Oryctolagus cuniculus: one gene and its partner. The protein of the gene in region 1 interacts with the protein of each later gene in a pairwise test. Links are inferred from orthologs where the notes say so. Each region holds a gene or a part of one and is shown on either strand. Other genes may lie near its edges.

Region 1 (3,808 bases):
GGTGGCCTGTTAGATTGTCAGCCGTTGGCCAGCACTGCAGCACCACGCACAGCACGCGCTACATTGCGTCACAGGCTGCTGTGTGCGTGCCTGCTTTCATCACCAGACTGTGCGCAGGGACTGTGTTCTGCCCTTCCTTGAGTCTCCCGTGGCAGATGCGGCGCCGGCGGTGGCAGGCGCTCGCGTGTCTGTTGCCTGATCCTGGCACTCCTTGCCTCTTGATGGGGAGCTCACAGCCTCCCGCGGGGCGGCTGATGCTTTGTCCCCACAGATGTGAGCTGTGATGAATGGGCCTTCTCTTTGCTGCCTCTTGATGTGGATCTGCTGAGCATGGAGCTGCCAGAATTTTTCAGGGACTACTTCCTGGTAAATGAGGGTCTGTGTATCTTGGTATCAAGGGTTAGGGACAAACGGGGGGTCCAGTGGGCTAGAAATACTAATTAACCTCTGTGCAACACACGGTCACAAATGATAGTGGTTTGGGGACTGAAGACTACAGGTTCATCTCCATGAGCCCCTTCGGGGCCACAGTGGGCCGGGCCGGGTTTCCCCACATTCTGCAGTTCCCTTCCAGGTGTCTGGGGCTGCCGCCTCTCCAGCTTAGGCACCTCAGGTTGATCCCCATCCCTGCAGGAAGGAGACCAGCGCTGGATCAACACCGTGGCTCAGGCTTTGCATCTTCTCAGCACCCTCTATGGGCCCTTTCCCAACTGCTATGGCATTGGCCGGTGTGCCAAGGTAAGAGCGCCAGCCGCACTGTTGCCCAGTAGCCTGTCCCCCTGCTCTGAATCGGCCTGTGATCACCCAGGGGCAGCTGGGATAGGGTGCTCATTCTTCACTTCCCTTCAGTTGTTCCAGAAGAGTCGCTCAGGGAGGAGCGCTCTGTAGCCAGCAGAAAGGGCCAGGGCCTCCTGTGCAACATTCCCAAGTCTCCTTTTCGTGGGGACAGGGCCTTTGAATCCTGGTGTCAAGGGATGGGGACACACGTGGGGCCCAGTGGGCTGGAAGTATGTCGGTACCTGATGTTGGCTTCTTCCTCCCTCACTGGTTTGGGGTGGGTAGAACAGGTTCGTATTGCTCACAGTTGCCTCCCCTCCCAGGGGTGAGAAGTATCGATATGGGAGCGGTTGGCTTCTGTAGGTGTGGGGCTGCAGCCGGGACCAGCACACAAGATTGAGAATGTCTTGGGCCCTGGCAGATGTCCTATGAATTATGGAGGCAACTGGAAGAGGAAGAAGATGGTGAAACCAAGGGCCGAAGGCCAGAAATTGGGCATATATTTCTGCTGGACAGAGGTAAATTGGGCCAGCACTCCTCTCATCTTTCCCTGGAAGGCTCGGGAACATGGGCCTCGTGGTGCAAAGTTAGGATCCTGAAGTCAGGGCTGTGAATCCCAGTGTTGATGAGGAATGTGGCTCGGGTCCTTTGGAAAGTAGCTGAGCTGATCTAGAGCAAGCCGGGTGGAAGGCCAGCCAGCCTGTGCCTTCACGGTCAGGATGTTGGTTTCAGACGTGGACTTTGTCACGGCGCTTTGCTCCCAAGTGGTTTACGAGGGCCTGGTGGACGACACCTTCCGCATCAAATGTGGTGAGTGCCGTGGCAAGGTGCACGCTGGGTAGGGCTTGTCGGGGGACTGAGGGCACGGCTGCTTCCTAGTCCTTGGGGAGATCTTTGCTGGCATTCTGCCAGGGTAGGAGAAGGCCTTGTTGGTGACCCCGATGCCCTTCCCTCCGTCCTCAAAGGGAGTGTCGACTTTGGCCCTGAAGTCACATCCTCGGACAAGAGCCTGAAGGTGTTGCTCAATGCTGAGGACAAGGTGCGGACTGGGCCCCGGCTCTGGGAAGGCGAGCGTCCCCTGGGCACAGAGTAGGCCCTGGACGTGGACCTGTTGATCCTGCACGTCTGGCCTGTGCCATCGTCGCCATGCTGATGAGGTGGGAAGGAGCAGGTTATGGTTCTGACCTCGTAAGCGCACCTGTCTTGTTCCCCGCACAGGTGTTCAGTGAGATCCGTAACGAGCACTTCTCCAATGTCTTTGGCTTCCTGAGCCAGAAGGCCCGGAACCTGCAGGCCCAGTATGATGTGAGGCTCCAAGCCTCAGTGGCTCCCCTTCTGACCCTGGGCCAGCGTGTCTCAGAGTGGGCGGCAGCAGAGGGCGGGTGGTTTCTCATGCCTGGGGTCCCAGGAGTTGACCCTAGGGGCGTCTCCCACAGCGCCGGCGCGGGATGGACATTAAGCAGATGAAGAATTTCGTGTCCCGCGAGCTCAAGGGGCTGAAGCAGGAGCACCGCCTGCTGAGTCTCCGTAGGTTCCCGCTGGGGCTGGGGGCCTCTGGGGAAGCGACCCTGCAGCTTCTTCCCGCCCCTTCGGCTGTGGGGGACCCTTCTCGCTCATCTGGCGAGTGGCGGTGGCATCGGGTCTGATGCGGGAGGTCTTATTCTTGTGGGCTTCTGTCTAGAACCAGGGACAGTCAGCTCCCTTTCGGTCTTACCCGCAGACATTGGGGCCTGTGAGTCGATCATGAAGAAGAAAACCAAGCAGGACTTCCAGGAGCTGATCAAGACGGAGCACGGTACCTGCAGCAGCCTGCTGGCTCAGGCCCCAGCCCCTCGGCTCCCCACCCCAACAGGACCCTGTCTGGCCCTTTCCTGCCAACACTGGCTCTGTGCAGTGCTGGCTGATGCCAGAAGTCGTGGGGCCCCTGGGCCCACCCCAGGGTTGGGGAAAGGTGGGGAGAGAGGTGCGTGTTAGCACGATGACATCAGGCTCTCCTCTGACGATTCCCAGCACTGCTGGAGGGGTTCAACATCCGGGAGGGCACCAGCTACATCGAAGAACACATAGACCGGCAGGTGAGCGGCCGGGGCGGGGGGCGGGGAGCGGCGGCCTGCAGCAGAAGGGACAGAGGGGTGTGTGTTTTGAAACCTCAGTTCTGGACTGTTCTTCCTCCGCAGGTGTCACCTATAGAAAGCCTGCGCCTCATGTGCCTCTTGTCCATCACCGAGAACGGTGAGCCCCAAAGACCGGAGCTGACGGTGCCAGGTTGAGACCCTGTGCCTTGGGGACGGAGGACGTAATTTCCAAAGACAAGTATCTCAGCAAACAGAATGTTGCCCCGTCATTTCGGGACTCTTCTTCCTGTAAAGTTAAGCAGCTTTTGTTTTGGGTGAACCCTCACGGGGCCATAGGGTGATTTCTTGCCCCACCCTAAGCAGGAGCATGTAGAGGCCACCCCAGGATGCGAGGTGTCAGCTGAGTGCCATGTCCCCCTCACCCCGTCCACGGCCCGCCTTCAACAAGCTTTCATGATCAAGGGCTTCCTAGAGCCACGGCAGCTCGCTTCCTAACGACAGACTTGGCAGCCTGCCGTGGCGGCTGGTTTACTGCTCCAGCTTCCAGCGGGTGACTCTCCTTAGAGCCTGCGTTCCTCCCAGGGAGTGCGTCGTTCGCTTAAGTTTCCTTTGTTGTAGTCGGAAGCCCAGTTCCCACCTCTGCGGAGGAAAACGCACGCGTGGGAACTCATCTAACACTTCCTGTGTGGCCGCAGCTGCAAAGCAGTTTCCAGTAGAACTGCTCTTTAGCCAGCAGGAAACGCGTGAGAGGTCCCTTCTTCCGCATGGTTTGCAGGAGCTCCAGCGTGCCTTCCTCGGCCGCCTGCTGACCGAGGGGTCAGGTGCGGGATTCTCTGCGCTGCGCATTTCAGGGCCCCCGCCCAGGTGGCCTCCTCTTTATACACCTGTCTCTCTGTCCTCGCCCTTAGGTTTGATCCCCAAGGATTACCGGTCTCTGAAAACACAGTATCTGCAGG
Region 2 (3,808 bases), on another chromosome or scaffold:
TAGATAGATATTAGCCAGTTGCCTTCCACAGAGGTAGTACTCCCACCAGCAATGTAGGAAGTTTCTGAGTTCTCACAGGCTTGATGATGAGTGTATTATGAAGCTTTTGGATCTTTGTCCGTATTACAGGAGACTAATGGTATCTCGTTGTACTTTGAATTTGTGATACTGTTGCTGAGAGTAAGATTGAGCATCTGTTCATGTCTAAAGCCATTTGAATTTCCTTTCCTGTGATCCATTTACTCACGTCTCTGCCTCTTTTTCTGTTGATTAGCATATTTGATTCTTTTCTCTCTGCCCATGTTGGCCAAAGCATTGGGGCCTCTGGAGAAAAGCTTTCAGAATGCATTGAGTGTTGGCTGTCACAGATTTGTTTGAGATGAGGATTACTGATTTAGTTCTTACTATCTCGCAGGTATCTCATGGTCCATCAGAGAGACTGCTGGTAATAGTGGGTCTACCCATGAGGGGCGTGAACAGCTAAAGAGCCGAAACAGCTTCTCCTCCTGTGCACAGCTGCCCAAACCTGCTTCTACCTACTCCTTGAGTAGCTTTTTTAGAGGTAAAGAGTAATTGGTTAAAAGAAAAAGAAAGTCCTCTTTTCCTTTTTTTTTTTTTTTAAGATTTATTTATTTGAAAGAGTTACAGAGACAGAGAGAGAAGGAGAGACAGAGAAAGATTTCCCATCTACTGTTTCACTCCCCAAATGGCTGCAATGACTGCTCCACCTGGCCAGAGTTGGCAGTCTCTTCCAGGTCTCTCATGTGGGTCGCAGGGGCCCAGGGATTTGGGCCATCTTCTGCTTTCCCAGGCGCATGAGCACAGAGCGGGATTGGAAGTGGAGCAGTCACGACTCAAACCTTTAACAGCTTTAACCTGCTGTGCCACAGCACCACCCCTCCCCCACTTTTTCCTTTTTAAAGAAAAATGCTCATTTACTCTGGAAGAAAAAGGCCACTGGAGGATAAAGAATTATCGTTAGAGCTGGCAGCCAGGTATTAGGAATGGAAGTACTGAGAGAAATTCAGGAAAATTGGACAGGATTTCTAGAACATGATGAATATAACTGACATTAAGCTTTTGTCAGGTATTAGAGAAATTGCCTGGATCAGAGTTCCTCCTTACTCCTGTACATTGTTGTTGGGAACCCTTATGCATTGCTGGTGAGATTACGAAATGGTTTAGCCACTCTGGAAGATAGGATAGCATGTGTTCACAGAAATTAAACTTGGACTTACCATATGCTCCAACAGTTTCGCTTCTAGGTGTATACCAGAAAGAATTGAAAACAGTGACCCTTTTTTTTTTTTGCTTTGTTTCAAATCTTTATTTGAAAGAGTGAGGGGTGGGTGGTGAGGGAAGGACAGATATCTTCTGTTCCCTGGTTCACTCCCCAAATGGCCTCAATGGCCAGGACAATTAAAAATTTTTCTCTTGGGGCCGGCACCATAGCTCACTCAGTTAATTCTCCGCCTGTGGTGCTGGCATCCCATATGGGCACTGGTTCTAGTCCCAGCTGCTCCTCTCCCAGTCCGGCTCTCTGCTGTGGCCCAGGAAGGCAGTGGAGGATGGCCCAAGTGCTTGGGCCCTGCACCTGCATGGGAGACCAGGAGAAGCACCTGGCTCCTGGCTTCAGATCGGCGCAGTACTGGCCGTGGTGGCCATTTGGGGGGTGAACCAACGGAAGGAAGACCTTTCTCTCTGTCTCGCTCACTGTCTATAGATCTACCTGTCAAATAAATTAAAAAAAATTTTTTTTCTCTGTAGAGTGGTTGTTGTGGCGCAGTAGATTAAGCTGCTGTTTGGGATGCCCACATTCCACGTTGGAGTACCTATGATCAGGTGCTGCCTCTACTTGCAATCCAGCTTCTTACTGGCATGTGTCCTGGGAGGCAGCAGATGATGACCTGGGTACCTGGGTCCCTGCTACCTGTATGCAAGACTGGGTGGAGTTCCTGGCTTTGGCCTGGCCCAGCCCTGGCTGTTGTGGGCATTTGGGGAGTGAATCATTGGATAAAAGATCTCTGTGTCATTTTACCTTTTAAATAAATGCATAAATCTTTTTTTAAAAGAGTTTTATTTATTTATTTGACAGGTAGAGTTACAGATAGTCAGAGAGACAGAGAAAGGTCTTCCTTCTGTTGGTTCACTCCCCCAAATGGCTGCTACGGCCGGTGCTATGCCAATCCGAAGCCAGGAGCCAGGTGCTTCTTCCTGGTCTCCCATGCGGGTGCAGGGGCCCAAGCACCTGGGCCATCCTCCACTGCCTTCCCGGGCCACAGCAGAGAGCTGGACTGGAAGAGGAGCAACCAGGACTAGAACCCGGCGCCCATATGGGATGCGGGAGCCACAGGTGGAGGGTTAACGTAGTGCGCCACCGCACCGTCTCCTAAATACATAAATCTTTAAAAGTATTTTTAATGGCATTTCATATTTCTGAAATTGAATAAAAGCTTATTTAAGCCTTAAGTTCTATTATTGCATAGTAAAATTCTGTAAACACTGTGTCCTTAACCAAGTGCTGATGGCTCTGGCGACTGTTCACCTCTGCCTTATGTTCTTTACCTTTAGGTAGAACTAGACCTGGAAGTTTCCAGTCCCTTTCTGATGGTAAGCATTGAAAACTCTTCTCTCAGTTGCTGTGGTTAATGTTATAGGTCTGGGGTACAGCCTAGAGAGGCGTGAGGATAGATGACTAGATGAACCATCTTCTGAATCCACCATCATTAGTAAAGAAAACTTCTTGTGCTAAGTGAAGAGTTAGAGATCATTCTGGCTACAGGGGCAAGGAATTACTTCTAGGGATGCCATCTTTGGGGAAGAACTGAAATCTGTATTTGACCCTAAAGATATCTTAGGAGACCGCAAGTTAAAAAAATGAAGTAAGTTAGAGGGGATCTCCAGGGAAAAGGAACGACAGGGAACAGGACTCACGGTGGCCCTCGGAAGCAGCTGTGTGTTGTTTTCCAGCTCTGTCGGACACACCTGCAAAAAGCTATGCTCCAGAGCTGGGAAGACCCAAAGGAGAGTACCGGGTGAGTTGTATCTTGGGCTAGTATGACGCTTTACAAGACAAACGTGTCTTGACATATGTTGCCTTGCTTGATCTTCCTAACTCTTTGAGCAGCTATCCTCTTTTATGGGTAAGAAAACCAGGTTTCCAAATGTGAAGGGTTGCCTGTGGTCTTTCGCTTGGGAGAGTAGAACTTGAACTCAGAAACTGTTTTGTAATTCAATCCTAGTATACTCTTCTTATCCATGATGCTACCTTTTGAAGCCTGTAATTTGCAACTCAGTGATCGTCACTACAATCTGAAAGATTGGTGGAGCTCAAATTCCCATGAAACATTTAAAAAACAAATTAACTCATAAGGAACTATATTCTAAAATCAGAAAAGGAACATGTCTCACACTTCTGTCTTCTGTTGGCCAAAGGCTTTAGTTATTAGGGTGTCACAATGTGACTCTCAGTATGTCTAGAGGTTAGAATCTTAAACCAGTAGGTATAGGGTCACTGGTTTTGTCGATTGATTCATCCCTCTTTGATCTGTCTCCTGCCTGTGTTGCCCCTGGTATAGTCCCTTCGGTAACTCAAAACAGGAGCATCCCAGTTCTTCATTTCTCTTCCCCTCTCACTAAGTGCATCTCCCATGGGGCCCAAGACCACGCCTCTGAGGGGAGGAGCTGGTGCACTGTTAACTTGCTGAGATTCATGTGTTGCTCGTATTTCAGGATTACAGCAATGACTGGAGCCCTAGTGATACAGTGCGACGCCTCCGGAAAGGAAAGGTAAGACCACTGGAGAGAG

Evidence for each region.
Region 2: the proteins of VPS33B (region 1) and VIPAS39 interact in binary tests that used the Homo sapiens proteins (3 or more experiments, as listed by UniProt). The link is inferred for Oryctolagus cuniculus from reciprocal best matches to the Homo sapiens genes VPS33B and VIPAS39.

The regions. Positions count from the first base shown.
Region 1 is NC_091443.1:100,277,239-100,281,046, forward strand, and holds part of VPS33B (vacuolar protein sorting-associated protein 33B), read left to right. Parts: intron 1-271; coding exon 272-366; intron 367-633; coding exon 634-738; intron 739-1,198; coding exon 1,199-1,295; intron 1,296-1,509; coding exon 1,510-1,587; intron 1,588-1,742; coding exon 1,743-1,816; intron 1,817-1,995; coding exon 1,996-2,082; intron 2,083-2,213; coding exon 2,214-2,304; intron 2,305-2,497; coding exon 2,498-2,572; intron 2,573-2,787; coding exon 2,788-2,852; intron 2,853-2,954; coding exon 2,955-3,009; intron 3,010-3,760; coding exon 3,761-3,807; intron 3,808-3,808. UniProt on the Homo sapiens protein: May play a role in vesicle-mediated protein trafficking to lysosomal compartments and in membrane docking/fusion reactions of late endosomes/lysosomes.
Region 2 is NC_091451.1:23,202,633-23,206,440, reverse strand, and holds part of VIPAS39 (spermatogenesis-defective protein 39 homolog), read left to right. Parts: intron 1-415; coding exon 416-562; intron 563-2,571; coding exon 2,572-2,610; intron 2,611-2,970; coding exon 2,971-3,035; intron 3,036-3,732; coding exon 3,733-3,789; intron 3,790-3,808.